4 linked regions of the Tamandua tetradactyla genome follow. The protein of the gene in region 2 interacts with the protein of the main gene of each other region in a biochemical or structural test. Links are inferred from orthologs where the notes say so. Each region holds a gene or a part of one and is shown on either strand. Other genes may lie near its edges. The genes, in order: LRPAP1, SORT1, SORCS1 and NGF.

The links.
Region 1: the proteins of SORT1 (region 2) and LRPAP1 form a complex in vitro, tested with the Homo sapiens proteins (4 studies listed by BioGRID and IntAct, with this or other methods). The link is inferred for Tamandua tetradactyla from reciprocal best matches to the Homo sapiens genes SORT1 and LRPAP1.
Region 3: the proteins of SORT1 (region 2) and SORCS1 form a complex in vitro, tested with the Homo sapiens proteins (2 studies listed by BioGRID and IntAct, with this or other methods). The link is inferred for Tamandua tetradactyla from reciprocal best matches to the Homo sapiens genes SORT1 and SORCS1.
Region 4: the proteins of SORT1 (region 2) and NGF form a complex in vitro, tested with the Homo sapiens proteins (3 studies listed by BioGRID and IntAct, with this or other methods). The link is inferred for Tamandua tetradactyla from reciprocal best matches to the Homo sapiens genes SORT1 and NGF.

What each region holds. Positions count from the first base shown.
Region 1 is NC_135345.1:3,642,516-3,649,642, reverse strand, and holds the start of LRPAP1 (alpha-2-macroglobulin receptor-associated protein), read left to right. Parts: upstream 1-4,125; 5' UTR 4,126-4,151; coding exon 4,152-4,355; intron 4,356-7,127. UniProt on the Homo sapiens protein: Molecular chaperone for LDL receptor-related proteins that may regulate their ligand binding activity along the secretory pathway.
Region 2 is NC_135337.1:13,515,884-13,523,873, forward strand, and holds the start of SORT1 (sortilin), read left to right. Parts: upstream 1-4,971; 5' UTR 4,972-5,021; coding exon 5,022-5,330; intron 5,331-5,618; exon of another isoform or gene 5,619-5,677; coding exon of another isoform or gene 5,678-5,818; intron 5,819-7,990. Other genes in the region: PSMA5 (proteasome subunit alpha type-5), read left to right, coding at 469-546.
Region 3 is NC_135339.1:69,268,418-69,276,014, reverse strand, and holds the start of SORCS1 (VPS10 domain-containing receptor SorCS1), read left to right. Parts: upstream 1-4,580; coding exon 4,581-5,138; intron 5,139-7,597.
Region 4 is NC_135337.1:5,863,500-5,871,118, forward strand, and holds the start of NGF (beta-nerve growth factor), read left to right. Parts: upstream 1-4,614; 5' UTR 4,615-4,665; intron 4,666-7,619. UniProt on the Homo sapiens protein: Nerve growth factor is important for the development and maintenance of the sympathetic and sensory nervous systems.

The sequences.
Region 1 (7,127 bases), on a different chromosome or scaffold from region 2:
AGAGAGCGACGGGGAGCAACTAAGCAACCCAGAAAGGTGCTCAGCAGTGATGTGACTTTGGGCAATTTGTCTCTCAGCCTCCGTTTACCAGCCTGTCAGTGGAAACTGTACACCGAGATGAACCTTCTGGGCCCTTACCACTCCGATATATCCTGGCTTTGTCAAGTTCATGCCTCATGATGCCAGGATCTGGAAGGCCATGGGCTTTGAGGTCAGCAGTCTGCCAGAGCCCCAGGTAGTCTAAGACAAAGGTGGGCCAGCTGTCCACAGGTCTCATTTTCCCTTCCCCCTGGGTAGACAGCTGGACGGCATTTCCCAGCCTCCCTTGCAGGTAGGGGTGACCACATACCTGGTCTGAGGCTGTGGAAGCAAGCAGAGGTGGTGGAGCCGCCCCAGGCCTGGCCCACCCACCACTTCCCCCAAGAGATCCCCAGAGCACCAGCCCCCTGCCAGAGGACACAACCTGGGAAACTCTGGGCTGAAGATGGCACAGGCAATCAGGAACTCTTGACTTTCACGGCTTTTTATTCCAATTTTATGTAGGTTTATACATATTTCTTTTAATTTATTAGAGAAGTTATAGGTTTGCAGAAAAAATCATGCAGAAATAAAATTTCCATATACCCCTCCAATATTTTTTTTTGCTTTGTATTTTATTATCAATAATGATGCTTCTACTTATTAATATTTATGAATTTTCTTCTCCCAGTTGATTTTCAGAACATTGCCTCTCCCACACATCACATAAAATCCTGATCCTGTAAGATGACTTTTCTGAATAATGTTTTATTTTTTTATTAATTTAAAATTTTTTTAAATATAACAACACAAACATTCTTAACTTTTGATCATTCCATTCTACATATATAATCAGTAATTCACAATATCATTACATAGTTGTATATTCATCATCATGATCATTTCTTAGAACATATGCATCAATTCAGAAAAAGAAATAAAAAAAACAGAAAAAAATCATACCATACCCCTTACCCCTTCATTTCATTGATCACCAGCATTTCAATCTAAATTTATTTTAACATTTGTTCCCCCTATTATTTTTTATTCCATGTGGTTTATTTGTCTGTTGACAAGGTAGATAAAAGGAGCATCAGACACAAGGTCTTCACAATCACACAGTCACATTGTGAAAGCTACATCATTATACAATCATCTTCAAGAAACATGGCTACTGGAACACAGCTCTACATTTTCAGGCAGTTTCTCCAGCCACTCTAATACACCTTAAACTAAAAGGTGATATCTATTTAATGCATTAAAAAACCTCCAGGATAACCTCTTGACTCTGTTTGGAATCTCTCAGCCACTGACACTTTATTTTGTTTCATTTCTCTCTTTGCCTTTTCAGTTGGAGAAGGTTTTCTCAATCCCTTGATGCTGAGTCTCAGCTCATTCTAGGATTTCTGCCCCACGTTGCCATGAAGGTCCATACCCCTGGGAGTCATGTCCCACGTAGACTGGGGTAGGGCAGCAAGTTTGCTTGTTGTGTTGGCTGAGAGAGAGAAAGAGGCCATATCTGAGCAACAAAAGATGTTCTCTTGGGGGTGACTCTTAGACATAATTTTAAGTAGGCTTAGTCTATCCTTTGTATCCCCCCATTATTGACATCTTGCATTAGTGTGGTGTATTTGTTACAACCGATGAAAGAACATTACTACAATTGTACTATTAACTATAGACCATGGTTTACATTAGGGTTCTCTGTGCTGCTCAGTCCTACGGTTGTTGCTTTGCAAATTTTTATTCTAGCAACAAATCTACAACCTAAAATTCCCCTCTTTAACTATATTCAAATTATACTCACACTATTATGCTACCATCACCACTATCCGTTACCAGCATTTTTCCATTGTCCCAAATAGAAACTGTGCTGTTTGAATACTAACTCCTCATTCCCTACCCGACTCCAGTCCCTGGTAACCTGTATTCTAGTTTTGACTCAAGGAAATTGTTTGCTTTATTTATTTCATGTAAGAGAGATCATACTGTATTTGTCCTTTTGTGTATGGTTTATTTCATTCAATATGAGGTCTTCATGGTTCTCACATGTATCAGGTATATAGTTTAACACAAAAAAAATTCTGGTAACATGTACTTTCAAGTGTACAATCAATGGTGTTAATTACATTCAACAATGTGCTACCATCACCACCATCCATTACCAAAATGGTCCATCACTCCTAACAGAAACTCTGTATCCATTAAACATTAGCTCTCCGCTCCCCACCTCCACCCTGTAATTTTCTCTGTCTCTATGAGTTTACACATTATTGTTATTTTCATGTAAGTGAAATCATACAATTTTTGTCCCTTTGCATCTGGCCTATTTCACTCAACATGTCTCCATGATTTTCAGATTTAAACAGGAGTAACAATAAACTTCTATCCTGTTGGGCCATTTATACATTTTTTGTATACATTTTTGCTTGTCTGTCACAGCAGTTCACAGCGCCTAACTAATATGCAGGTTGAGTGCATTAAATATTAAAAGCCAGGCAACTGGGTAGTTGAGGAACAAAGACTGAATTTACCCTCTATGGTGGTTTGGAGCTATGGATCCCCCCAAAAAACGTGTTCTTAGATTTAATCCATTCCTGTGGGTGTGCACCCACTGTAACAAAGACCTTTTGATGAGCTGATTTCAGTTAAGGTGGGGCCATTCAATCAGAATGGGTCTTAATCCTATTACTGGAGTCCTTTGTAAGCAGAACGAAATTCAGACACACAGAGAGAAAGCCACAAAGGGAGTGGCCAGAGCAAAAAGGTCACTGAACCCAGAAGAGAAAGGAGAGGCCTGGAGATGCCACCATGTGCATTGTCCTGTGGTAGAGGAGCCCAGGGCCGCCAGCGGCCAGCCCAGCACACCGGGAAGCAAGCATCCTCTTCATTTACACTTTTCCTAGCCTCAAAACAGTGAGCCATTAAACTACCGCTGTTCAGGCCAACCATCTCATGATGCATCAACACTGAGGAATCTAAATCACCGTTCCACTTAAAGCAACTAAAAAACTAGACAAAACATATGAAACAATGGCTCTCAAGATACTGGATATCAGGCAGTGAGAGACACAGTATTGTTCCTTGATTCCAGGCCCCTTAAACCTTTTCTGGAACAACTTGAAAGTAAATAAATATGAATTCCCATCAGGATGCCCAGGCCATTTCCACCCTCTCTGCCCTTATCTTCCCTCCACTTGGAACGCCCTCCCCTCCAGGCTCAACCCCACCCCTCAGCCCCCTCCGAGGCCTTTTTCCATCATCCTTGCCAGACAGGCTCTTGTCCCTTACCAAGCCCCACTTTGTCGGTGTCTTTACTCCATCCTATAGCTCAAGCTACTTGGGCAGCAGTCTGTGTCCACTCCTTCCCCTTGTTTCCCACCCTCTCTCCACCGGGCACTGCTAAGCATCCTGGCCACGGCCAGTTTCGCTCAGCGGGTTTCCCGACTGGGGTGAGGAGAACTGAGACAGGTACATAGATATCTCTAACACGGAAAAATGCAAACGAGTTGTGTGTGAGATGGGGCAGCGTTGGGGCGCGCGGGCGCTCTCTGCACGGTGGGGAAAGCCTCAACTTGGACCCGTCTGCCGCTCAGCCCTTCCCTGGGCCTCCGTTTTCCTTCCTCTATAACGGGAAGGGTAGGAGCAAGCGCTTCTCAGTTTCCTGACAGCGCCGCCGGGTACGCCTCCGAGCGTCAGGTAGGGTGGCGTCCCCAATTCCGGGACCAAGACCAATGACTATCTAAGGCTTCGGCCAGACATAGTCCTGCTTCTGAACGTTTCCCTCCTTCCAGGGAACAGGGGGGAAAGAGGCCTTCGGACATTCCGCCGGGCTGTGGGTGCTGAGATTTCCCGAACCGACCCCGGAATGATCCCCGGCATCCAGGAGTCCGCGGCGCGTCGGGCTCTGCCCTGGGCATCCGCACCCTGCTCCGGAGGCGGTGGCGCGGTTGCCGGGGAAACGTCCACGTGTCTCCGCAGGGCTTCCTGGGTCGTGTAGTCCGCCGGCGGCCTCGCCTGGGCCGGCAGCGCCGGGACAGACTACAACTCCCAGAAGGCGGTGCGGCGGGCCGGGGCGGGGCGTCCGGGCGTCCGCAGAGCGCCGGGTCTCCGGGTCAGCGCCGCAGACAAAGATGGCGTCGCGGAAGGTCGGGTCGGTTCCGCGCGGGCTGCTGCTGCTGCTGCTGCTGCTGCTCCTTGTCGGGCCCGCGCCGGCGGCCGGACACGGCGGCAAGTACTCGCGGGAGAAGAACGAGCCGGGGCTGCCCCCGAAGCGCGAACCCGGTGACGAGTTCCGGATGGAGAAGCTGAACCAGTTGTGGGAGAAAGCCAAGCGGGTGAGCGGGTCGCGGCGCGGCCTGGGGGCCCGGGAAAGCTGAAGGCGCGCCCTCCTGTCCACGGCGGGAGGCCGCGGCTCGGGTCCGCTCCTCGCGCTGCGAGTCTGGCCTTCGCCAGGGCCCGGGGGCCGAGGGGTCGGGGTGGGGGCGCCCGCAGGACCGTCTGCTCCGGATAGTGCCGTTTACAAACCCTTGTCCTTGGCAAAGGCTCACCCTCGTGTCGGGTGGGCGCGGTCACGTTCCCGTTTGCAGCAGGAAAGGGAGACCCCGTCGTGGGCCGTACCTCCCTTTGGCAGCTGCCCGCACGCCTCCAGGCTCTGGGGTCGACCCCATTCTCCACATCTGGAGACAGATCCAGCAAGGTTAGGTGATGACCCCCACCCAGCCCCGGCCGTGCACACATGCCTTCCTTGCTTTTTTCTTTAAATGTTCTTTATTGTGAAATGTAACATACATACAAAAAAATTTTTTTTCGTAATACATTTTGACAAGCAATTGAAGAACAGATTTCAATCAGATTCATGCAATTAAAGAACAGATTTGGTATGTGTTACCATTCCACATTTTCAGATTTTACCTTGTAACTGCTTCAGAACACTAGAAGCTAAAAGAAATATCATTATAGTAATTCAACAGTCATACTCGTTTGTTAATCCTTTCTTCTCCGTTATAGCTCGTCCTCCATTGAGCCTACTCCCAGTCTATAGGGGTCTTTAGGCCTTACCTATTCTAACTTTTTCGTGTTGCAAAGGAGGGGGGTGGTCAGCAATATAGGATAGAGGGATGGAATTAGTGATGTTCTTGGAGAGGCTGGACCCCGGGGGGTTCTGGCTTAGGAACCCTCTGGAGATTGTAGGTTTCAGGGAAGTAAGGTTAATACGTGAAGCTTCTGTCGAGTCTCATTTAGAGCCCTAGGTGTTCTTTAGGGTTAACTGGAATGATGTTGTTTAGGGTTTGGCAAACCATGGCAATTAGCAATATCTAGCTGAAGCTTGCATAAGTCTCCAGAACAGCTTCTAGAGTCCATTTGAACATTCTTAGCCACTCATAACCTTGTTCTATTACATTTCTTTTCCCCATTTTAATCCTGAAGGTATTGTTGAGCATTCGGTGCCAGGGACCTCCCCTACTTGTGCTGACCTGAACTGACTGGACCTGGGGGCAGAAGTGGAACTGGATCACATGTCCCATGGCTTCTAGTTCTTTGCCTTTTTTCTTATGTTATATCTCCCTATATGGAGAAGCAGGCAAAATAGATGATTTGGGGCATAAAGGCAAATCCTGGGGCCCCAAAAGCAAGTGAACTCTGGTTAATTTGGGTAAGGAGCAGAAGGTATGGGGAAGTAAAGAGATGGGTGGCTTTAGAATGCCAGATTGAAGGAATGCTAAAACTTTAGGAGGCTTAGCAGATGGTTGAATCTCATCCTCTTCCTTTTAGAAATGGAGATAACAAAGCCCAGAAGGGAAAGGGCATCTGCCAAGGTCATTCAAACCAGTAGGAGCAGAGTCCAGGCTGCTGCCCCGCCTCAGTGCCCCAGCACCAGCCACACTTCACATTGACATGGTGGTTGGTTACTGCAGTTGGCAGGCAGAGGGCTGTGTTCCGTGAAGTGGGTCTTTACACACTACACGCTGGCCTACCAGGCTCAGAATCTTCATCTCTGAAACCAAGAGGGTCAGAGGAGATCATCTGTTGAGTCTCTCACGTTTAACATTCCTTGAATCTTTGAGAAGGAGAGTCAACACTTTGAGAAAGAGGATTAAGTCTGTGAAGGAAAAAGAGAAACTTTGGCAGGAAAGAAAGAGGTGGGAAAGGGCAAAAGCTAGGGGAGAGCCAGGTGGGTGGAGGAAACTGCGAGGGCACAAGGAAACCAGACTCAGTAGGCCCTTTGGGAGCGTTTCCCTGGGCCCAGTGTTCTTTCCAGGGTTCTGCTGGAGGGAGGCCCGGCAGCCGAGCCCCCTTGTGTGTGGTCAGCTTGTGGTGGTAGGAGAGAGATCTGGACTGGAGTGCCAGGGAGGCTCCCTGGAGGAAGGGAGCAGGCCTGTTCTTGCTTGTTGTGTCCCCAGTCGGCCCCGTGATGGTGCACCTTGCATCTGTTGAGAGACAAGGTCAGGGGCCCCTCACCCTACCTGGAAGAAACTGGCTGCATTGGGGTTTCTGTGGGGAAATGGACCCTGGTGCTCAGGGTCATGCATGGCTTCCCTCTGCTCGTGGAATCTGGTCCCAAGCCCTCACCTGCCCTGCAGGACCCTCTGTCACACCCCCTTATCCGCCCAGCTGCTGCTTGGCCTGTTGCTTTCCTGCAGGCCTCTGCTCCTTGGACAAGATATTTCCAGTCCCCCTAGAATTCGAGTCATATGTGGAAGTCTCTCGTGTAGAAAATTTGAAGGTTCTCCAGGTCGAGGGTTCTGTGTTGCAGCATTTCCTATGTCCTCGTGCTCTGTGGGCAGACTCTAGTCCATGCTACCTTGCCCTGGTTTTCCTTCTCAGCAGTGGTGCTAAAGCCTGTGCCCCAGGTGCTGTGTCACCTCAGGTGAGCTGGTGCACAGGCCGGACAGTCACTGTCGTCGTCCTTACTGCCAGCGGAGCTCCCCGTTGTCAGGAGAGACCTTGGTGCTTCACTTGGTGGTGTTGGCGAGCTGGGTCCTGGGCAGAGTGGCCGCCATCCCAGCGTGGGCAGGGGGCAGGGTTGTGATCAGTGAGGATACGCAGAGAACCATCTGCTTCTCACCCAGGGCTCCGTGACCACTGTGGGTGGATGTGAAGGAGAT
Region 2 (7,990 bases):
TGTCAGGTAGGATTTTTCTCCATTTTAAAGATGGGGAAACTGAGGCACAGAGTGACCAAGTAACCCAAGGTCACACACAAGTTCAGCTTGAAAGTGGTTAAAATATATCTCTACAGAAATTTTTAATAGGAAAAAAGTACTGACCCCATAAACTTTGCTGTATTGTGTGTGTGTGAGAGAGAGAGAGAACTTTGTGAAGTAACTTCAAGAAGTGAGAATGACACTAGGCATTTGCTTAACTCTTGTGTGGTAGTTAATCTCAAAATAGAAAATCGGTCAATAAGAATTTTATTTTGGAATCAGAGCTATTTTAGGGACCTATGGCCTGGAAAGGAGATCCCTGGGACAGCAGATCCCTTAGCTCTTAATGAACAGTTGCATCACCAACACAGCTTCTCCAGGCCATGCTAGGGTGATCAGCAGGGTAATTGAGCCCAGCTCATTAACCCTTCCCTATTTTCTTTCCAGCTAGCTACAGTGCAGCCTGGCCAGAATTTCCACATGTTCACAAAGGAAGAACTTGAAGAGGTTATCAAGGACATTTAAGAAAGTGTGATCCTCAGAACTTCTGGAACAATTTCAGTTCTCCCAGTTGCCCTCAAGTTTTATTTCCAGCTCCTGTTTCTAAGAAAATCTCCAGTGTATGAGCATTTTTTTATGATGTCTGTACATAAAGGCAATTCTGAAAATAAAGAGAATTTAAAAATATTTGTTAATAGACTGTCTTACATTGCAGTCTTTTGTTTGAAATACTTATGTTAGGGGGAAGAAAGGGTAGTGGTATTAATTTTCCTATCCTACGAGAATGTCTATTCTAAAATTCTTTTAATGACTGTCGAGAATCCTTTGGCATTGGCAAGTGAACTCAGACTAGTCCAGCTCCCCCCAGTGGTTTATAGATGTTAATGCCACTGTAAACGCGTTTCAATCCTGTAGTAGTTTCTCTTGAGTAAATATGTATTTTCGCTCTTTCCTTTTGTGGAAAAGATGCTACTAATTGACTGTTGAGAGGATTCGTTTTGTGGTCCTCTCCAAAACACTGATGGGTTATAGTAAGTCGTCTACACTGTTGTACCAGGCCTTGTGTCTTGATAGACATTGGTGTTATGTCTAGAGAAAGGGCACAGATTTTTTTTTTACACTAGTAGAAGTAGATTCTCTCAGTCTATGGAAAATTAAAGTTATAGGAGAGCTAATTTCATAATATGGTAAAGCTAATTTACACACACACACGGACACACAACTGTGTGCAATTGTATGTGTGTATATCTGGAAAAGAGAACATGCAGGATCTTTCCAAATGCTCATAGAGCAGTCACAACAATTGTACATCAGAACTCCTCTAATTTGGAATTAAGAATGATAGGAACATAATTAAGATAAAGGGTACAATTTGAAAAGAGATTTTCCTTTTATGAAGTTAAGGACTATAAAAGAAAGAAATTCATGATCTTGGTCTCATTGGCAATCCACTACAAATCTCAGAAGTAATTCACATTAGACTTAGGGATGGGTTATATAATTATCCCCATTACAGCTTCCATCATATGATTGGTTGAGATTATTTAAAGACTCAATCTATTTGAGCCTTAAAAATGACCATACAATAAAATAAAAATAAAAAGAAATATAAAACAAAACCAAAAAAATGACCATATGAAGTAGGTATCATTATCCCTACCTTAAGATTCAGAATCTGAGGCCCTGTGCCATAGACACAGAAAATTTGCTGCTGAGATTTGAACTGGTTTCCTATCGCCAGCTCTTCTTGATTTTATAATGCCAGGCCCCTTGAAACCAAATATTTTCTGAGTATTAGGGAGAAATATGGAAATTTGAAATGTACTTCTAATATCCATAATGTGGTAGTCCACCGGTGGATAAGGCAGAACTGGTTGGTGGTAATTCACTAGTGAGAACCCCAGAATTACTTGCTGGGATCTATGTATTGGGTTCATTAACATTTGTAAGAAACTACTCTATGATGTGAAATACATTCTGATTATTTGAGTAGGCTGAATTCTTATTAAATTCATACTGTAGTTTCAGCAAAAAATAATTTGTGGTTATGTACATTTGGAAGCTGCAATGACAGGAAACAAATTTAGAAGAATTTTGCCCTAGACGCACTCATAAGGAAAGGAAACTATTATATATTGTCACCAATGTTCTGGGGACTATTCTAATGATTTTAATCTACTATCTTAGTGAATATAACATGTTCATATATATATATATATATAATATCATGTTCTTAGTTTCTTTGATGTTCACTATTTTATTAAACCCTAGTGGAAAATAGCATGAAAAACTAATTATCAAATGTATTGGGTACCAACTGTATGTCAGGTACTCTTAAGCATTGGGCATAGAGCTGTGATATGGTTTGTGTTTTCATGAAGCTCAGACAATCAGTATTCCCTTTTAGCTTAGTTTAGGTCAAAGTAGAAATGGACCAAGCACACTGCTTAAGGGAGAGGTGAGAGAGGTGTGTGTCTGAATCACATGAATTATGTAGGGAAGAAAAATACCAAGAAGTAGCTCTTAGCCCAGAGCTTCAGCTTATACTACATTTTCCTCCCACTGCCTGGGAAGTTTATTTGTATCTGAGAGTACAACTAGTAAAACAGTAAATATACCCTCTAAATTATAATGCATATTCTTCAAAGAGTTAGACCTTTGATTTTCTGTAGAAAATCAAATACAAAAAATTAAACATTTCTACAAGGTTTCTTCTTGTGTCCATTTAAATAGAAGGAATGATCTTACTAGGAAAAGCAATGGTTTTGTGATGTGTAATCGCTTTCTATTCATCTTTCTCCTAGAGAATTTATCTTAGAGAAAAGTTTAGTTTCAATAAGATAAATACACATATTTTGGTCCTACAAGTAAGATAAGATCTTATGTGCAGTGTTTCATAAGGGAGAATTGATAGTGAAAAGTTTTTGTATTTAGTGCCTGCTATTAAACAAAATTGAAATACTATATTCATTTGCTCATTTTTTTCAGTTCCTAAACCTAACCCGTTCCCCAGCAGTTGATAATTTGAGGAAGGAAATATATATATATATATATGTATATACTATAAGCATATAATAGCTATTAAAAATGGAAGGTACTAGATAATTGCAACACCTTAATATTCAATTTAGAGTTAAATCTGCATAGGATAATTCCTTTAAAATAATCTTTTATTAAGTGTATTTGGTAATTTCTCCAAGAGATGGCACTGTCGAGTTGGCTCTTTTCAGACAGTAAGACAATAGACCATTCATCTTTGTGTCACCTAAACAAAGAAATATTCCTTTTAATCCCTCTTCTCCCACTAATCACATGCTACTAGAACTGACTGTCTTGTGATCTACTCCATAATTGGCATAGATTAAAAAATAATCTGTATTTTAAAAAATAGTTCCGGAAAGGAGAATATTGTTCACTAGATTTCATGGCGCTTTATCTTGTCCGTTCAGTAGCTAAGAACTTAGAGGACTATTCTAGTGATTTTACCATCCTCAGGTGGCACTCAAAAATATTTTTCAGGCGGGCCACGGCGGCTCAGCAGGGAGAGTTCTCGCCTGCCATGCCAGAGACCCGGGTTGGTTTCCCGGTGCCTGCCCATGAGAAAAAAAAAAAAGAGTGAAAAAACTACCCACAGAATGGGAGAAAAAAAAAAAATATATATATATATATACACATATATACATACATATAAGATATATATATTTTTTTTCACTTCGAACCTGACCAGAAGGATTTTGATGTAAAAATTGGGTTAGGTGCACCACACCATTTCGCTCTACAATGAATATACTCTCATTTGTGTTTACTGCCAGTTTATAGTTAAAAGATAATTTTCAGTTACTTTCTTTATTTGGATGTAACATTTTGCATATTTTTTGTATCTTTCTCTTTGCTACCTTTTATATTGAACATCTATCATTCTGAAGGGATGGAGTCAGATTAAAGATCCAGAACTAGTTTTATTTGTGCTGCACGTTCTAAAAGTTGTTTGCAGTTTCTACAGTAAAGGGTGCAGCGTGGGGGGGTTGTTTTATTTATTGGGGGCGGATGCTAATTTAGGGGACATCATAAACAGAAAGCCAAATTTGTGCATTGCATTCACTGCACGGTTAAGGCATATGGTAAAGATAAATATGCATCTATGAAATGACCAAATACAAGGTAAGCATTTCCCCCTTTTTCCTGCCCCTAATGTCTAAGCTACTTTCTCACTCCAGGAAAATCAGTAATTATGCCTTTGGCCTACCTCCCTGTAGAAGAGGAAGGCGAATGAGGCCATATGTAGTGGAAAGACTTTCTTCACTTTTGCATGAGTCACGGATGTCCTGATGTCTATCTGCCTCTGGAGGATTTGGCCCACACAGTTCGCGTTCACCTTGGCAGCAAGGCTGCTGCTTCAGCAGACAATGGGCGCCCCAGTGCGCGGGGGTTAAAAACCTGAAGCACCAGTTTACGACGAAGCCCCCTGTTGCAGCTGAGCGAGCTCAGGAATTCCCTGAGATTTTCCAGGCGCTGCCGCAACCGAAGGAATTTTAAGGGAATTAAATTCCCTTAAAATTCCCTGTCTCTAGGGAAAGGGAGGGGACTAACCCAGCCTTAACTTGAGGGTAACAGAAAAAATACCAAGGAGAGCGGGGGGCTTCGCGGGAAGGTGGGGAACGCTCCCTAAGCGAACTCTGGAAGCCCGGCCCCAGAGACGCCGGGCGAGGGCGCGGGGGAGGGGCGGGGGGAGGGATGACCTCAGCCGTCTCTGCCACGTTCCAGCCAATCAGTCCTGCATCCTGGCATCCGAATCCAGGACCCCCTAAGCCAGCGGCGACGCGGGCCAATAAGGAGTGGACCGGGGAAGAAGGACAGGCGATCAGCCTACGGGGGCGGAGAGGCCCGGCTGCGCGTATCCAAGGAGCGCCAGGCTCGGGCTCGGGGGTGTGGCGCGGCGCCGGCGGGGGTGGGCGGGCGCGCCGGGCGGCAGGTGTCGGCGGCGTCGGCATTCGGCGGCGATGGAGCAGCCCCGGGGAGCTGCGGACAGCCCCTTGCGCTGGCCCCACGGCCTCAGCCTCCTCTTCCTCCTCCTCCAACTGTTGTCGCCCGCGACCCTCGGCCAGGACCGGCTGGACGCGCCGCCGCCGCCTGCTGCGCCGCTGCCGCGCTGGTCCGGCCCCGTCGGGGTGAGCTGGGGGCTGCGCGCGGCCGCGGCCGGGGGCCCGTTTCCCCGCGGCGGCCGTTGGCGCCGCAGCGTGCTAGGCGAGGACGAGGACTGCGGCCGGGTCCGGGACTTCGTGGCCAGGCTGGCCAACAACACGCACCAGGTGAGTGGGCGCCGCCCGGACTGCGAGGTGCCGCCCCCGGGGCCCCTCGCGGCCGCCTCTACGGCGGGGACCCCCATTCTTTTCCTCGCGCGCTTCGCGTCTCGGAGGAGAAGGAGACCCCGGGCTGCTCGCGGGCCTGGCCCCGCCCGTGCACCCCGCCCGCGGCCCCGAAACTGCGGCGTTGGAGTTGGGCTCGGGCGGCCCCCGGACCCGCTGCCGGCACGCCTGTGTTTCGTCACAGGACAGGCAATCTTAGACTTTTCACGGCATTCTTTTTTTTTTAAGTTGTCAAAATCTCTTGAGCGTCATTGTTTTCCGTCTGTAAACAATCAGGATCCAAAACGCTAATGTCTACCAGGAAGCTGGAGAAAGCAGATACCTCTGAAGTGCTTGGAGAAGTTGGGCTCGGAAGTAAAGGTGTGCCCTCTCTGGATCACTGCTTTCAGGGGGACAGAAACCCGAAGAGCAGTTGCTGGACGACACTTTTTGTACGTGTGTGTGTGTTTTAATAGTTAGAGAAAGGTGCAGGTTCGGAAATGAGATGACAGTACATATGTGATCTTCTTCAAACCTGGCTTTCTGTCGTGGACATCCCACTCAGGCCAAAATGTCCATATCCAGCCTTCTCAGTATTTCCAACAGTAAGATAGACGTCGCAGAGATTCTGCTTTGAGTCAGTTCCTAGTCAGAAGTTTCAAAATCGTGGCAGTTTCTCTGGCCGTGGGGACAAGTAGCTCAACCTTTGTACACTACTGGATTGACAAGGCCGGTTGTTAGGGATGTCCTGGCTCCTTGCTTCAGTCCAACTTGGGCGTCTTCCTCATGTTTTTCTCAAGTTAACGATTTAGTTGTTGCCACCCACATGTGCATAATGTACCCACATGTGCATAATGTACTTTCATTTTAATGTATTTTCTCCCTCATAGTCTTGCCTGTTTTCTCCACTTTATTTATCATGATTGTCCTTTTTCCTCTTTCAAAGAGAATTGCTGTGTTGTCCTTGTGTTGCTTTGTCCACATTGCACATCAGCCGAGCCTCAGTTTACCCTTGAACTGTCTTTCTCCCTCTTCCTGGGCCATACTTGTTATCCGTGACATAGTTCTCACATCGGGGACCCAGGGCACTCTTGGGTCAAGGCACAGACATTCTGAAATAATTCAACTTTATGCAGCCCAAGCAGTTGGAAGAAGGTAGCCAAGTTAGCACTGAAGGGTGGGTGGGTCCGTTTTGTGCATGTTGATTACTGATGGGGTGGAAGATTTACTGAGAAGTCTTCCTCTTTGATGAGGAAAAAAAAAATTGTGTAGATTTCTTTCTCACAGCTGGGGGTTGAGAAAGACTTTACAACACTGATGCTTAAATTATCCCAAGACAACTTCCGTTTTTGTGACAGCTAGATTTTGCATTCTCACTTCACATTTCAGGTTCTTCCCTTGCTGGATGGATCACCTTTAGGTCTGGTGCTATTCCTGGATTTATTCCTTTAGTCACAGTCTTCTGTGGTTGGTTTGAATTGATATGTCATTTCTAATACATTGATTCTTAAAGTAAAAAGTTGAGAAAACTGATTCAGGGGGCTCTTAGGCCAAATCTACTCCAGAGCAGATCTGAAACCATTCATTTATTGAAGACTATGTAAAGAGACTCCCTCTAATTTTTTCATTTTATTTAGCTAGTTTCCAATGATTTTTTCTAGTTTCTATTTTTTTTTTCATTCTTTTTTCAGTGACCTAATTAAAAATAGCTATTTTTGTATTGGTTAAGCATGTATGGTCTCTTCTTCAGGAATCCCATTTTTTGTTGTTGTTGTTAGTTGATATCTGATCAAAAGTAGAGCCATTGTTAGTAGGCTTCACCTTAAAAATGGTTAGGTAAAGTAGCTGTTAAAGATTCTGTTTCCTGAACCAAGAATTGTTATCTAATTGTCTGCTTTGCTTTTTCATTCTCTATTTTTGTAAGTCATAATAAGTCTTACAGACTGTATATAGAGCTCTTGTATTTTGGGATCCTTTTATAAAAAGTGTGAAAGAAAAGTATCAGCATGGCAGACCAACTTTTTATCAGAAATATTGTACACTTTTGTACAGCTGGGGAAGGGACGTGTCATTTTCTCTATAAGGCAACAGAATTCAATTCTGAAGAAAAATCAAAGATTCTTGATTTTCTTATTTTTTGTAAATTGATGCTGTTCATTTCAAGTCATATTAATTTTATATAAACAATATATGTGAATGCTCACGAAACACCCAGATTTCTGCTAGATACTGGGGGTGCTGTAGATGTCCTCCCCTACTCCCAGAGATATTTCAGACTGGAGAATGAAAATCTCCAGCACATTTTAGCAAATCTCCTAGACCTGTTGTTGTGACTTATTTTGCTTGTGAGAATATATTGGCATTTAATTAATCTTCTTAAAATAAAATAATACTAAAGCATGATAGTGCTTTTGGTCTTTTTGTTTTAGGAAACCTGTGCCCTACTAACTCAGGGTTCTACACTCATGAAATCCAACAGTTTGTTCTCTAGCCTCCTTATTTCTCTCTGGGAGGTTTTCTTTCATATCGTTCCCCACCCCCCCACCCCCCCACCCCCAATCTCTTGATTTTAAATTTCACATGTACTGGATTTAATTATTGTGGACAGTATATATTTTTCATAT
Region 3 (7,597 bases), on a different chromosome or scaffold from region 2:
AGACACCTTGTCTCAATGGTATCCAAGGGGAGCCAAGTATTTAGAGCGCTATTAAAAGACAGTGTCTTTATGATGAGGCATATAATGTGATTTAGTACAAACCGAAGCCAAGGTATCCATCAGAGAAGAAAAGACCTAGAAAAGGAGGAAGAAGGAGATCCAGTGTGATAGTTAAAAATAGCCAGGGCAGTAAGATTATGACTGGCAAGTATAACAGTCTCTCAATATTTTTCCACCCCCACCCCACACAAAAAAAGAGAGAACAAATCAAATAGAAATGGAGAATAAATATTTCCCCTCAGCCTAAACTAATTTGTTCACTTTTTCCAGAATTGCTTCGTCAACACTAAAAAATGAGTCAAAGTGCTAACTGGGGTGTCTGGCACACAGTAAACTGTCAATAAATGTTATCTGCTGTGGGTTGGATTTGGAGCAGAAACACAGCTGCATAAAGTCAAGAGCATATGAGGAATCAGATGTCTGGGCTCAAGTCTTGTGTCTTATACTATATTGTTGTGTGACCCTAGATAGTTGCTTTGCCTCATGTAAATAATAATACTTAGCTGAGATAAACTTTGTAAAAACAATCAAACAAATAAACAAGCGAATGAATGGGTTCCATGTAAAATTCGTAGCATAATTCCTGATTGACAAAACATTAGTTACTAAGAGTTGTGTAGGTAGAGTTGCTAGACATGTGTCACTCAGCTAGCCATGATGTATTGAACACTTAACAATAAGCCAGCTACTGAGGGAGGTGTTGGGAAACTAACAGGTGAACGAGGAAGATAGGTCTATTCACAGGTACCTTTGTGGGGAGTATTAAAAAATATAAAGCTGACACTCACAAACAGGGTCAGATAAAATAATTGAAAGCTGTATTGTATGTTGTGAATGTATTAACAAGAGTCTGATAGAGAAAATGTGAAAGGAATTTTTCCTTTAGGTAGGGGTTGGGGAAAGTCTGTAAGGAAGTGTGTTTAAAGTGCAGGACTCAAAGAAGAAGAGGTGACCGTGTGAAGTGGGTAAGCATTCCAGGGAGGTGGAACAGCATGGCAAAGGTCATGAGCTGGAAAAAAATATTGGCACTTTGGAGTGATTGCAGCACATGTGTGAGGAGGGAGGGTGTGGCCAGAAGGGACTGAAGAACGGGTGGTAGAGCCCATCCAGCTCATGTAGGCCTCCCAGGCATGGTAGGAGTTTGGATTTTACTCTGTTTGCTATGGTAAGGCATCAAAGCATTTGAAGCAATGGTGAGCAATGACCACTATTGCTACTTTGTAGGGCAAGGTGCCCAAACCTTTTTGATCTTTTGGGGCACGTGGCTCCAAAATGCTCATTGTCTCTCTCTCCATATATATATGGCTGTATATATATGTATGCATATTATGTATTACACACAATTATAGTTATAAAATATATAACTATATAGTTATAATTAATATAGTTATATATTTTAATCACTAAGTAAAAATTAGCAAGGTTAATTGCTAATATTTTAATACAGTAACCATTTGAATCAGTAAGTCAAAATTAGCAAGGTTAACTTTTAATCTTTTTGCATTAAAATTAAATATATAAAATATTCTTATTTTCTTCCTGCACAAACAGACATCATCTTGTGGTGCCATTGGGGTACTCATATCTCACTTTGAAGATGACTGTTGTATAGAAAAGAGGGAGTAGAGCAAATGAGGTGTTGGAAGTGCAATAAGGAGGCTGTTACTCTGGTCTAGGTGAGACCTGATGGCAGTTTGGACTAGGTTGGTGGCAACGGAGATGGTGAGGAATTGCAGCATTTAAGACGTATTTTCATGACACAGTGAAAAGACTCCTTTCCCCAGTGAAAGGAATTACAGATATGTGCTTATTCTTCTCGTGTCAAATTAATATCCGTTGGGTTCCTTAGTGGATTGTTGGATTGAAAATACCTCAGGTTTCTTCACGATGAGCCTATTTTTTGATGTCTTCTGGAAAGGGGAATAATTTCAGGAATTGTTAGTACTTCCCCTTCCTCTTGCTGACAAAGGTCAGTGGGGAATTTATTTAAAAAACAAAACTTGAAGCTAATGCCATCAACATCTATTTAACTTTTTTTCTGAAATGGATAGCTAAAACTGGGCATTAATAAATGCATGGCCTCTATAAATTCCCAGAAAATGGACTGCAAATGTCTCCACTTTAATGAAACTGTTAGAACAGGCATTTTTGGAAAGGGGGAGTCGTTAACTCTGGAGGGAGAAAAATATCAGCTATAACGCCTTAATTTTCTTCAGCAAGAGTTTCATTTTGAAACAAGAACCATCTAAATTTCTGCTAGGACAATACTGGACTAAGGCCCCAAATACTCAAATCTATTAATTTCTTCATTTCCATTTTGCTTTCTCCAGTCCTGTCTTTGGATAGGGCTGTATTTGGGTTCTAATGATTTGATCTGGTTTTCGTCTCTTGGAGGAATTCCCACACACTTCTTCAGACTGGAAAGGAAGCTAGCAGGGCATGAAAAGAAGGTGTCAAGCAAAAGATCCTGCAAAGCTCTGGAAACTTTTTTGAGAAGAGGAAAATGGCTGCCATAGGCTTTGACAAAGAGCATTTACAATTTTGGGGACAGGGAGGAGTGTAGCTCTCTTCTCATCCCAGTCTAGAGCCTGTCCGACAGGGTTCCCTTCTTAGGAGGATGCAGGATGAGCAGAAGTCTCCTTTAGTGACAAGATGGACGTTCCTTTGTCCTGTTAGGTACTCAAAGTCTGCCCTCCTTACATATGCACTTTTCTTGGCCTATTCATAAGAATAATAATTGAGATTAATCTTTTTATAACACCACTGAGTTGAATTGACATAAGAGTAATGTCTCTTGGACAGCATCAGAAAGAGTTCCATTAATCAAGGAAATTATTACTCAGTTACTTCAAGTTGGTCCCATCCCAACTAAGAGGCCAGATTTTTTTCAGTGAGGTCACCATGCAAGTGTGAAAATTAATAGAAATGTAATTAGAAACTGTAATTAGTACTATATTATTGTGGTATTCATTTATTCAACCAGTAAATATTCGTTGAATAATTACAATGTGCACATGAGTGTTATTAGGTGTGTGAGAACCACAAAGGAATGTGAGGATGTTTCAGTCCTTCGAATTATACGATTTGAAAATTTTGAGAAATTCTTTGTTTAACTTTCAAGCCCATTCTCCTGCTATAAATCTTCATCTGAACTTTTGAACAGTAGCAGGGGAGCTGGGCTGGGCAGATGTTATAATCATACAATTACAGAATTTTAGGAGTGAAAAGAATTTTAAAGGTCATCTAATCCAACCACTTAATTTTAAAGTTTAGGAGGCGGAGAGTTTGTGACCTGTCCGAGGTCCCACGGCAACTTCGTGGCCCAGCATTCAGCGCAGGCATTAAGTTTGCTAACGGGGATCTCCAGGCCTGTGGGGATCTGAGCTAAGCTCAAATGACACAAAATAAATATAGCACTGTGTCTCCTTCCCTGCATTTATTCTACATGCAAATATATTCTAGAGTTTCAATAAATATTTATTGAATTAATGACTGACAGATTTCTGTAGGGCACTGTACCAAAACGCTGGGGATAAAATGGCAACCAAATATAATCACTTCTAAATTGCTCACAATTCGGTCTTCCTCTCCTTAGAGTTTGTAGTCGCTCGGAGAAGCCGAAATATACGCCCACAAAACCTTCGGATTAGGAAAGTGCTTTCTAAAATATAACTAAATACAGGTAGATTGGGCTCAAACTGATGGGGGGGGGGGAAATAACCTAAAACACACACACACACACACACACACACACACACACACACACCCTCCGGGATTTCCCCCGGGCTGGGCACACCGGCTGTGCTCGGGGTAATGTCAAGATGCCAACTCACCGAGACTAAGAGAAGGAAAGAGCAGGAGCCAAGCCTTGCCGGTCTCCTAACTGGAAAAGACCAGAAAGAAAGTGGGAGGGGGCGTGGGAGGAGTGAATAACAGAGACAGAGAAAAGCAATACAGAAGGACTGGGAAACCCCCACACTGTGGCCGCTCTGGGGGCCCGGGGTTGGCCGTCCCACGGGAGGAGCGCGCGGGCTCGTGGCGGGGACTGGCGGGCGCGGGAGCAGCGAGCAGGCAGCGGCAGCGGCGGCGGCGGCGGCGGCGGCGGCGAGGCCGAGGGGAGGGGCGGCGGCGGCGGCGCATCCAGTCCCCGCAGCCCCCGGCGCGCGGCGCAGCTCGGCAGCGGGACGCGGCGCCCGGAGCCCCGGCAGCGCCCTCCCTCCCTTCCTTTCCGCGTCGTCGGCCAGCGCGCCCGCGCCCCTTCGCCCGTGACTTCGGTTCGGCTCCACCCCCGCGTGGCGGCGGCTCCGGCGTCCGAACCCGCGCTCTGCACAAGCCCGGCCCGGGCGAGCGGCCGCCACCTGCCCGGCGCCGCCTCCGTCCGCCCGCCCGCCCGCGCGCGTAGCGGCCCAACTTGGATGGAGTTGAGGTCCTGAGCGGCGGCCCCCCGCAGCTGGCCAGAGGAGAGCCCCGCGGCGCCCCCGCGGGTCCGGGACCCCTCTCCGCTTCTCTCCGCTCCCGCGATGGGAAAAGTTGGCGCTGGCGGCGGCTCCCCGGCCGGGCTCCGCGCGCTCCTCGCCGGTGCGGGGTTCTTGATCCTCTGCGCCCCGGGCGCCTGCGGCGGGGGCTCCTGTCGCCCCCCGCCGCCCCCCGGCTCGGCCCCGCGCTGGGCTCCGACCCCCGAGGGGTCCCCTCACCGGGGTCCGGAAGGCAGTGCCCCTGCCACGCCCCTGCCCTTCCTGGGGCGCCCCTTGTTTGCAGTGGCCCCCGGGGACAGAGCACTGGCCCTGGAGCGGGCCCAAGGCACCGGGACGTCCGTGGCGGGTACCGCGCGCTCCGGCCGGAGGAGACGGAGCGGGGAGATTCGGGAGATGGAGGAAAGGGGAGAGGGCGCGAGTCGGAGTCCCCGGGGAGTGCTGAAGGACCGAGGGCAGCAGGAGCTTGGGACTCAGGAGCGGGACCCGGACAAAGCCACCCGCTTCCGGATGGAGGAGCTGAAACTGACCAGCACGACGTTTGCGCTGACAGGCGACTCGGCGCACAACCAAGCCATGGTCCACTGGTCTGGCCACAACAGCAGCGTGAGTGGAATGGGACTGCGGGCCAAGGGGTGATGCGTGGAAGGGGTTAAAGTGGGCTAGTGTGTGAACTGATGGTGAATGGGGGGGGGGGGGATTGGGACTTCTGGACTTGGGAAATGCTACAAACCAAAGTCTTTCCTGCCCACCTTCCCTAGGAATTAATATTACCTACTGCCCCCTCTGCCCCCCTCTTCCAGCAACGCCGTCGTAGTTCTCTCCAAACCCCGAAGAAAGCTTTGAACTAAGCAGGGTTTGGTATGTTTCTTTGATCGCTTTGGTGTGTGGAGCCCAAGACCAAGCATACAGAGAGGGCTGGAGAATGAATGTGGAGGTGAATGGGTTAAATTTCCAGGCGTCTGACATTCCCTCAAGTGACTTTACCTTTACTGGGTAGATTACTGATGGGCTCAAGTAAGATGAAGAAAACATTTATTTGTAGCCTTCTACTTTTTAAATGAATGATTATTATTATTTTTTATGTGCTCAACTCCTAACCCCTTCTTCGTAGGGGAGAAGAACTGCAGTCAACAATATGTGCCTTTAGTGCCCTGTTTCTGAGGACAGAGTGAATTTAAGTTGCAGGGCAGGAACTCTCCAGCATCTTCTAACAGCCTCAGCAAGTGTGTTTTGAGAGCCGGGGCTGTCCAGCCTGTGAATGAGCAGTTGTTCTCAGGCATGAGCATCCCAGGAAGAGCAGCTATAGCCCAGTGACAACAGCCCCCTGTTTTCCCCCATTGCCTGACCTCCTCTAGGGAGAAGCACAAATAAAAACCTGCCTTCCCTTTGTGGAGGGAAGAAAGGGATTGCTGGATTGGAAGGAGGCTGACACGGGTGGGCGGTGGGGTGGGGGGAGGGGTCAGGGTGGTCCTGTCAGGGAGCTTTTGGATGTTTGGATTTTTTATTTGGAGGTAGTATTCCTGTTTAAATGGAACCTACAAACTTCAGTGAGCTGAAACAGTAAAGAACCAGCTTTTATAGTAAAATAGCTGGAGATGATTTAAAAAGTGTGGAAAGTTCTCTGGGCTGCTATTAAGCAAGACAGGAAGAACAGAAAAGGATGGGTAACATGAAAGAAAAAAGAAAGAATAAATAAAAGTTGGGACTTGCAGATTGTATTGTTTGTAATGTGCACAGCCTGGTACTTTTCACAGTGTTTTCAGTTGTGAGATAATTGCCAGAAACGTTCCTAGAGAAGTGCCACTTAGTGAGTTGTGCTCATTGTCAGCTTTAATGAAACTGGTGAATATTTTAAAATAATAGTCTGTTATTATTGAGTCCTTGGATACATCGGCATAAATTGTATTAAGGCAAATCGTGATGAAAGTATTTTCTGTTGATGATTCTATCCTCAGAGCATTGGCAGGGTTTTACCTACAATTCAGCCTTCATGTCAGAGCCTGTGGTTTTATGTGGTTCTCAGGAGTGGTTTAATTAAAGAATTGAAGCAGAATTTGTTTTTTTCCATTCAAGTTTTGGAGACCTTTGCCCCCATCCTCTACCTTAACTATCATATCTTCCATAAAACCATCACCAAAATTAATCATCCAATTTGAACTTGAATCTTCTTTAACTGATGGAATAACTTTCGTACTGCTTTAAGTGATTAACTCAAAGCTTCTGGCTTTAAGGGAAGATTTTAAACACATCAAACATGTAAGATCATTCATAAAGAAGCAAAGGACTTTGGGCTCAAAATATTTCTGGCTTTTAATGTAATTCAAGCTGTAAAATATCACTCACCCATTAGACCTCTACTTTAGTTCATCTCTTGAAAGATCTTGGAAAGAGTGAGAAAAGGAAAGTACATCTTTGGGAAATTTGAAACTCCATTTAAGAAATGGCATGATGCATGCCAGGTTATTTTTTTAATGGTGCTCACAAGCCCAGTGGGGCTTATTGGGGTCAAGATTTCTATGAGTACCATGCAGGATGGTCTGAAACAATGTAGAAAATAACCAAGGTGGTGAGTGTTAAAGTTTTGAGCAGCCATATGCTCATGCTAACTAGTGAGATTCTTACCCCTGAAGTCTCTTTTTTCTATGAGCACATACCCACCTCTGCCTCGGTGAAAACACAATTTCTTTTTTTCCCAGTATATGCAAACAGATTGTGGAGGAACAGACATTGTCTTTATCCTGGTCTCCCAAATCACAGCTGGCCCTACTTACTGATCCAGCCTTACAAGAGAGACAAAGCTTAAAATATTTTTTAAATGGAGGGAGGCAGAAAGAAACTTTTCTGGCAACTTTGAGAAATGAAAAGCTGCGTGGAGACCTGAGTTCTAGTTCTCTCGATGTGTTGTGTGACCCTGGCAAGTTGATTACACTCTCTGAGTGTGAGTTTCCTCACCTCTAAAGCGGTGGCAGTGTCTGTCAGATTAATCATAGAGAATTACACGGCATGGTACCTATGAGGGAGCACTGTGAACGTCAAGTTCTCTACACCTGCTGGGACTTTCA
Region 4 (7,619 bases), about 7.7 Mb from region 2:
AACATTGAAGACTTGCCCTAGTGAGAGGACAAGGAAATGTCTCTTTGAAGACAGAGCCAATGAAGATCTGATCTGGGCTGTAGTCGTGGTCACTGTGGGGAGTTGGAGGCCCTCTGAGAAGTTGGAGGCTCGCAGCCATTCGGGTCAGGAGAGCAATGGATAGAGTCCAATCCCCAGATGGCTGACTTGACTCTTCATTGTTTGTTTCTTTAGCTGTCTCACCCTCCTACCCAAATCAAGCTCACCAAAACCACGATTTTCCTTTTATAGGCCTGGCATATACTGTACATTCAGTAAATACTTATTAAAAGAGGGAAACAAATTACCAGAAGGTAACTTCCATGCCAGAGATTGTTCTATTTACTTGCCGAATCTCCTGCACCTAAAACAGGACCAGCACCCAGCAGTTGCTCTATAAATATTTCTGTTTATAGTTATGATGACTCAAAAAGAATAGGTCTTTCTCCCAAGGTCACACTCAGCCTCTGAGGATAGACAGGATAACTGGGCTAAATTCTCCCTGTTTCAAGCTGGTATCTTTCCTAGGCTGCAGTGCCCCTGCTGGAGAAGAGCTGAACTGTCCTCAACCCAAGCAGTTTCGCTGACCTCGGTTTCCTTAATGGGATCAGTGGGGCTACTGCTCAAGAAAGGGGCCAAGGATTTTGGATGGAGGGAGCTGAGAGTCAGAGGTGAGATAGAAACACAGATCTTGCCTAGTGCTTGTCCAGGTAGCCTGAAACAAGAACCTAGGTAGCACATAATGCACATAATGGATGCTCAAAAATGTCAGTGACTTGAGTGTGGATGAGAGATCAGGGCTGAGGCCATGGGCTGGAATCATGCAATTAGGAGGGGGTTCCTGGAACAGGGTACAGGCTTGGGAGGCACATGAGTTCACAGGGCAGAAGGAGAAATCAGAGAGGTAGACGGTAAGTACAGTTAGACGTCTTCAGAGGAAAGTGTTTGATAGAAGGTCATCAGCAGAGCCCAAGGCTGCAGAGAACTCAGCAAGGAGGTAGGTGACTGGCAATGTCAACTAAATTTGGGTAAACTAAGCAGGAGACCTGGTGTTTAACAGCAAGAGCTTCCGCCTCATAGGCCTGGGTTCAAATCTCTACTATGCCATTTGACCAGCCACAAGACCTGGATAAGTGACTCACCTCTTCAAGCTTCATCTTCCTTCCTACTGACAGAGCCTTTAAAATGTCTTGCCCAGTGCCTGCAATGAGGGAAGCACTCAATAAACGCTGCTGTTATTATATTGGTGGTGGTGGTGTTACTGCAACTGTGACCTTTAAGAAGACAATGTCAGTTAAGGCAGGGAGAAGGGAAGGGGAGGGGGGAGAAGATGGAAACCAGATTGCAGGAAGTTTAAGGGGAGCCAAAGAAACGGTGGGTGTAGATCACTTTCCTGAGGAATTTGGTGGTGAAAGGAAGTTGAGAAATCCAGTGGTTGGGCCAGCACTTTCTTAAAGAGAGAAAAGCCAAATGAATGTTTGCAAGTAAAAGGGAAGGAACCTGCAAAGATGGAGAAACAAGCTATCAGAGAGAGAGAGACAGGCAAATGCTGGGAGCAGATCCCAGGAGTAGACAGGGATGGGCCTCAGAGGTGAAGAGACCCAGGTTCTGGTACTTGGCTGAGTCCTTGTCTCGTCGTCCATAAATGAGGTAGCTGGATTTGGTCATCTCTGTGATCCTGTAACCATGTCATCGCGCTAAACATTATGAAATATTTCCTCTTCTGAAGTTTTTTTCTTCACTCTGATTAGAAGGCAGGGGAGTGGTGGTGGTGATGGTGGAGGGGGGACTTTGAAATGAGCTACCACTTCCTCCAGCAATTGGGAAGATATTTCTGTGTTTCACACATAGAGCAAGCAGATCCAAAGATTTCATCCTTGCTGGCAAATCACTGCTGAGCCTCTTGGTGTTTTAAATAGCATGTGCACTTTGTCCTGGCCTTCTGCAACAAAGCAATAGGCAAGAGCTTTATGCTGGGCTGAGGCTGCTGTTGACGAGGCACTCAATGGCTTCAGTCTTCTGAATCCTCAGAAATAACAACAATTACTGTATACGCCACAATCTGAGCTCCAAGTCAGCAAATCCATCAGCTGCTGGTTATTTTGATACCCTGGATAAAAGCTCTTTCGAGAAAATCTAGTACAGAAAAACGTTCTTTTCCTCTACTTGTCTGTACCATTCCTTCTGGTCGTTGCCCTCTCAGTTCTCTCTTTTTTTTTTTATTCCTATAAATGCAGCTAGCCCAGGCCTTAAAGTCCTTGTCACGATGACCCAAGAGAAGGGCATTTCATATGGGCTTTTCATGAAAGCTGAAAAGGCCAGAGAAGAGACACCTGGCTATAATCTCTGTGCCAAGGCCAGCCTGATCTGGAACCTGCTGAAAACAGATCCAGTGTTGTCTGACAGCCACAAATGACTCCGACTATTCCCAGATAAATGCTTCGACAAACATTTATTGAACACCTACTATGTGCTAGGCCTTGTGCTAACATCTGGGGAGACTGTGATAAATGTGGCCAAGGTCTAATAATCAAGCACCTCCCCCCATACCCTATATCTGTCTCATAGCACAGATCTGGCACATAGTAGGCCCCCAATAATCTTTGGAGTTATTGTTTGTTCTTTACGTGTCCTTATTTACTCAAGACCTTAAAGTTCAGGGACTGAAACAATGCTACTCAGGATGGAAAGGAGCTCTTACTAAACCAATGTGTGCCATAAGAATATGAGCAACAATTTGGGGGCTGGGACACTGAGACTTAGATTCTGCTCACATCATTTTGAATTTCCCTCTTACACACCACATGAAAAAGAACCACAAGTGCCCCAAATTCTTTTGTCCTTCTGGGTGATGCCACAAAGACACATGCAAAAAGCTCTGTATTCAACCCCAAATTCTTTGTTATTCTAAAATTTTCAACTTCATCTCTAAATTCTTGGACAGCTATTATGTAAAGCTTAAGGCGGATGCTTTCAAACAAGTTTATACTTGATATGATTGATGAACAAATTTGTTCTATTGCCTGGAAATTTCTTTGTTTAATTGACCATGATAAATTTTCTAATGGAGCAATCTGATTGTGATGCTACTTCTGCAGACAGGGCCATTTACGGTGTTCCCTGGCCTCTTGCCCTTGCCTCCAAAGTATGTTGATCCACTAGCCAGTATTTGAACAAATCACAAGTGGACAAGCTTTTGCGGGGAAATAAGGGGGGTCACACCCAAACTAAAGCTGACTCTTAATTCTAGGGCTTTCTTCCTTTTCATCCTTCTCAGAGCATGCCTAATATGCATGGACTTAAAAGTGAAAACAGAAGTACAGATCTCGAATCTGTATGTATTAAGGGGGTTGGAAGCACCCAGGCAGGTCCCCACCTCACTCAAATGCTGTCCACTGCAAGTTAAGGACCACCCTCGAATTCATAACAGGAGCCCCTGTGCCTGGCTAAGTTCCCACGCCCTGAGGGTGGTCTTCAGCTGAATTGTGGTGTCATGGCTTTCTAGAACAGTTACTACTAATCATGCACGTTTGGTGAAAACTTGACTTTAGGGGTCTTTCTCCATCACTAGCTTTAACTTGGATGTTGAGAACAGGTGGGGCAGAAAGACAGGCATCAGCCACGGAAACTCCCCTGGTAGGATGTGAATTCAGGGAACTCAGAAATAGTAAAGGGCAGGCCGGGAGATACCATCTCATTTAGGATCCTGCAAGTGGGGTAACAGAGGTTTCCGCTAGGGCATGCGGTGGGGCAGAAGACTCTATCTAGGCCAGTTTGGGGCCGCACATCTTGCAAAACTGATGAAAGCTGGGGGCCCTTTTCCCAGTAAAATGTACAGACCTCACATGAACATAGAGATTTGCCTACAGATTTCAGAGGGGTCAGGGTCCTCCCTGAAGCCCACAGAATCCAGGGCTGTCAATCAAGGTCTAGGGCCTAGGTCCTGACTCTGAAGCTCTTTGCCTCTTATTCCTTCCCTACTGGCTGGGGCTGGGTCTTCTAGCTGGTTCCTGCTCTCGGAGCTGCCGTCCTCCCTCAGGGCAGAGGAACCCAGGCACCTGCACCTGCAGCTCCCCTGGCTGCTCGCCTGTCCAGGGTGACCAGAGGTGTCACGGATGAAGAGTGCTCGGACTACTTAGGGTGCAGCCCATTCCTGGGGCGAGGGCAGCAAGAGCAGATCCCGGAGACGCTGGAGGCAGGCAACGCGCCGTAGTGGGGGGAGGGCAGGGAGGTGAGGTGAGCACCGGGCAACCTCGCCCAGTCCCAGTCTGTCGGCCCATTCGCGTCCCGGGCCTGCACCCCTACCTTGTGTCGCACAAAAACGCTGTCCCTGCCTGGCGCACCAGGCTCCTCTGACCCCCGTCCCGAGCGTTTCCCTTTGACCTTTGTTGGTTTGGACCCTTCGCTCTCTGGGTCCCGCCGGCCCTGCTGGGGGCGATCGATCTCCAGCCCCCAAGACCCCTGCCGCGGGGTGCCTCTGCCCAGCCAGAGCAGGTGCGGGGCTGGGGGGTGGGGGGTGGGGAGGGAGGGGGCCAGGATTTGGAGCGGGTGTGACTCAGGACCCAGGGAGGAGGGGCTAAGAATTGAAAGAGCAGCTCGGCGCTCCGACACAGCAGAGAGCGCTGGGAGCCTGAGGGGAGCACAGCGGTGAGTCAAGCTGCCCCGAGCCGAGCCGGGAGAGGGGCGCAGCGCGGGCTCGGGGTGCGGTTTGGGGTGGCTGGGCGATTCGGGAGGGTATGCATGGCTCCTGGTCGGGTGAGATCTCCGGGTACCTCCGAGGCTGTCCCGGGTGAGGTGCAGACCCGGAGGAGTGTCCCGAGTGGGTGCGGGGGCGCGGGACCCTCGGCGGGCGGGTCCGGGGAACAGCGTGCTCTCTGGTCCGCAGAGGTCCCAGTCCCCGCTTGGCCCGAAATCCGGAAGGCACCCCTGGAGCGTGCAGAAGCCACTGGGCCGTGCCAGGGACAGGTTCGAGGGCTAGAAGGGGACAGCGCGCAAGTGAGGGAGAGTGAATACGTGTGGAAGGGAGAGGATGCGCGCGGGCTGCAAGCGCGCCGGGGCGGGAGGAGTGGTGGTCTGCTCCTCGGAGAGAGAGTGCGGAGCGCGCGCGGGTCGGGGTGCGCGCCAAGTCTGGAAAGTGCCACGCTGCTTCCAGGTGAGGGGGCGAGCGGGACCCAGCGCGTCAGCTCTGCTGCCGGGAATGGAGCAGAGGTCCTAGGGCTCCTCCGCGCGTCGCAGGCCGACTAGGGTCCCGAGCGAGGGCGCGGGGTGTTGACACAGAACTCCATGAGTGGGGTCCGGCGCGCTAGAGATCTCCGCAGACCTGCGCTGGTGTTGCCCAGGTTAAGGTCGGCAAGGCTCTGCCGTCCCACTTAGGTCATACGCCTCACTCCCGGCTGTCTGCTGCCAGGTGTGTGAAGAAGCTGGCATGGAGCGGTGGGGCGGCGTCTTGGGTCTGGGCCGCGAGGATCCAGAAGAGGGAAAGAAAGGACTCAGGGGTCAGGGAGCTGCATCTCTGAGCCAATGTAAACAAGCTGCTTAGCTCCGTTTGATTACGACTTTCCTTCTTTAACAAAATCTCTGCAATTCTTATGGAAGGTGTTTTCTACTCGAACTTTCTCTTCTCTTGTGACTTGAGGGATTAAAAAAGAGCTTGCTTGCTAGGCTGGTTTTTCCAAGTTGTTCCAGGTTGGAAGTTGTAACAGTTTGAAGGATGATTTATGGGTGTTTCATGCATTAAAGTGTATTACAGCAAAGCCTTTTGGGTGCTGTGGGTATTAAGGAAAACTGAGTGCACGTTCCCAGCTGGAAACCAAAATAGTGCCCTCCTCGGTGTCCCTGCCCCATTTGTCATCTGAGGCCAATGAAAATCCTAGAGAAAAGGCACTTGATTAATTGTCCTGGCTCCATCCTCTGGGCACACCCACTACCAGCCTGGCCGCCTCCTCCCCCAGTGCATGCATCGCCAGCTGCATTCTGCAAATTCAGAAATGTTAGTGGAGAGCCCACCAGTGACTTCTCTTCCAGATCTGATCAGCTATTCTTCAAAGTCTTGAAGCTGTCAGTCAGGACTGCTGGCTGGAGGGGAATATTTTCTCCTTCTCAAGGCAGTGCAAGCACTGCAGCAACAGTTGGCCTCCACCGGTTCTTCTCGCCCAGTGTTCACAGTTTCCTTCTGAGTGTCTGAAATGTTGTCTCTCTGAAGAGTTAAGGAAGCAAGGCTGCATTAGACATCTGATGGGTCTCTTCTGTTGAATAAATTATATGCCAACCTGGCAACCCGAATGTCGAACAGAGATGGGCAGTGTTCCCAGAGACTCAGAGGAGAATAGTAGACTGGGGCGTGGGAGTGGTCTGGAGGCTGAGACTGACCCTGTCCACACCAACTCGCAGAAGAAATGAGTGTCCCTCAGCCCTCAAGGGTGGCTGCAGGGGGATGGGATTAATTTTGCACTGTACCAGATCCCTCCCCCTCACTTCACCCAACATTTTTATGCAGGTGGAAAAATGGCAGCCTTGAAGGGAAAAATAGTGTTAGGAGACACCACAAATCAGAAACTAAGGTCTGGGACAGGCAGTGGGGCATGGGAACATATGTTTTGATAAAACTGTAAAAATACCTCTGGTGATTTTATAACCAGCTACTGGCACCACTGCCTTCCCTGGGCAAGCTGTCTTATTCCTAAAGCAGCCCAGCCTGCCAGAGGATTGGAGAACTGAGCCCACACTCCTGCCAGTGTCGATGACCCTTTCCCTACCCTTAGCCCTTAGTGAGGTTCCCACTTTCCCTACTGCCTGCCGACAGCTACCCTGCCTCCAGGGCCAGCAGGACCAGGGGCTGAAGCTGTGGGCTTCCATTCTCTCCCATCAAGAAATCTCTGCCTTCGCCAGGAAGGGGCCCCAGCTGCCGACATCAGCAGGGAGAGTAGGGCAGGGCAGGGCAGGGCTGGAGCCTGAGGGAAGTTTCTCATCATTACTGAGATTAAACTGATGAGAAAACCACACAAATTTGCTTTCCAATGCGTGGTGAGCACTGCGGCACGTTTATGGAATGCCCTATTGCAGCAACAACTGTCCTGGATCCTCAGAGAAACTACAAGGGAAGTACAAGAGATGCAAGTCCCAGATCTCCAAGCAGACGTGGGTGCCAAAACAGGAACCAAGGCCCAGCCATTTACCCTTTCCTGGCAAGAACGTACAAGGATTTTGGAGTCCAGAGCAGGCCACGGTGATCCTTGCTGGCAGCTAATATTCTTGCTGCTCTCAGGAGGCAGTGGAAGGTTTACTGAAGGCTTGCATAAAATCTCTGGATATCTCTGAGCAAACACCCTCTGTTCCCAGAGGGTTTCTTTTCCTTTGACTAGAACCTCTGATCTTGCAAACCATCAACTAGCCTATCAGCTTTCAGGCTGAGTTGGTCCTGAGGAATTAGTTCTTTGGTGGTCCAGTTTCACAGAACAGCATGTGGGGGCATCAAGCAAATAAAGAGGAATGCGAGGCCCTTCCTAAACCCATTTCCAGGGACCTCTCTTCGTGACAGTGGGAAAACAGTTAAGATCCTAACTCCAAATAGTGGTGAGACCAAGAGATCCTGAGGCAAGCAT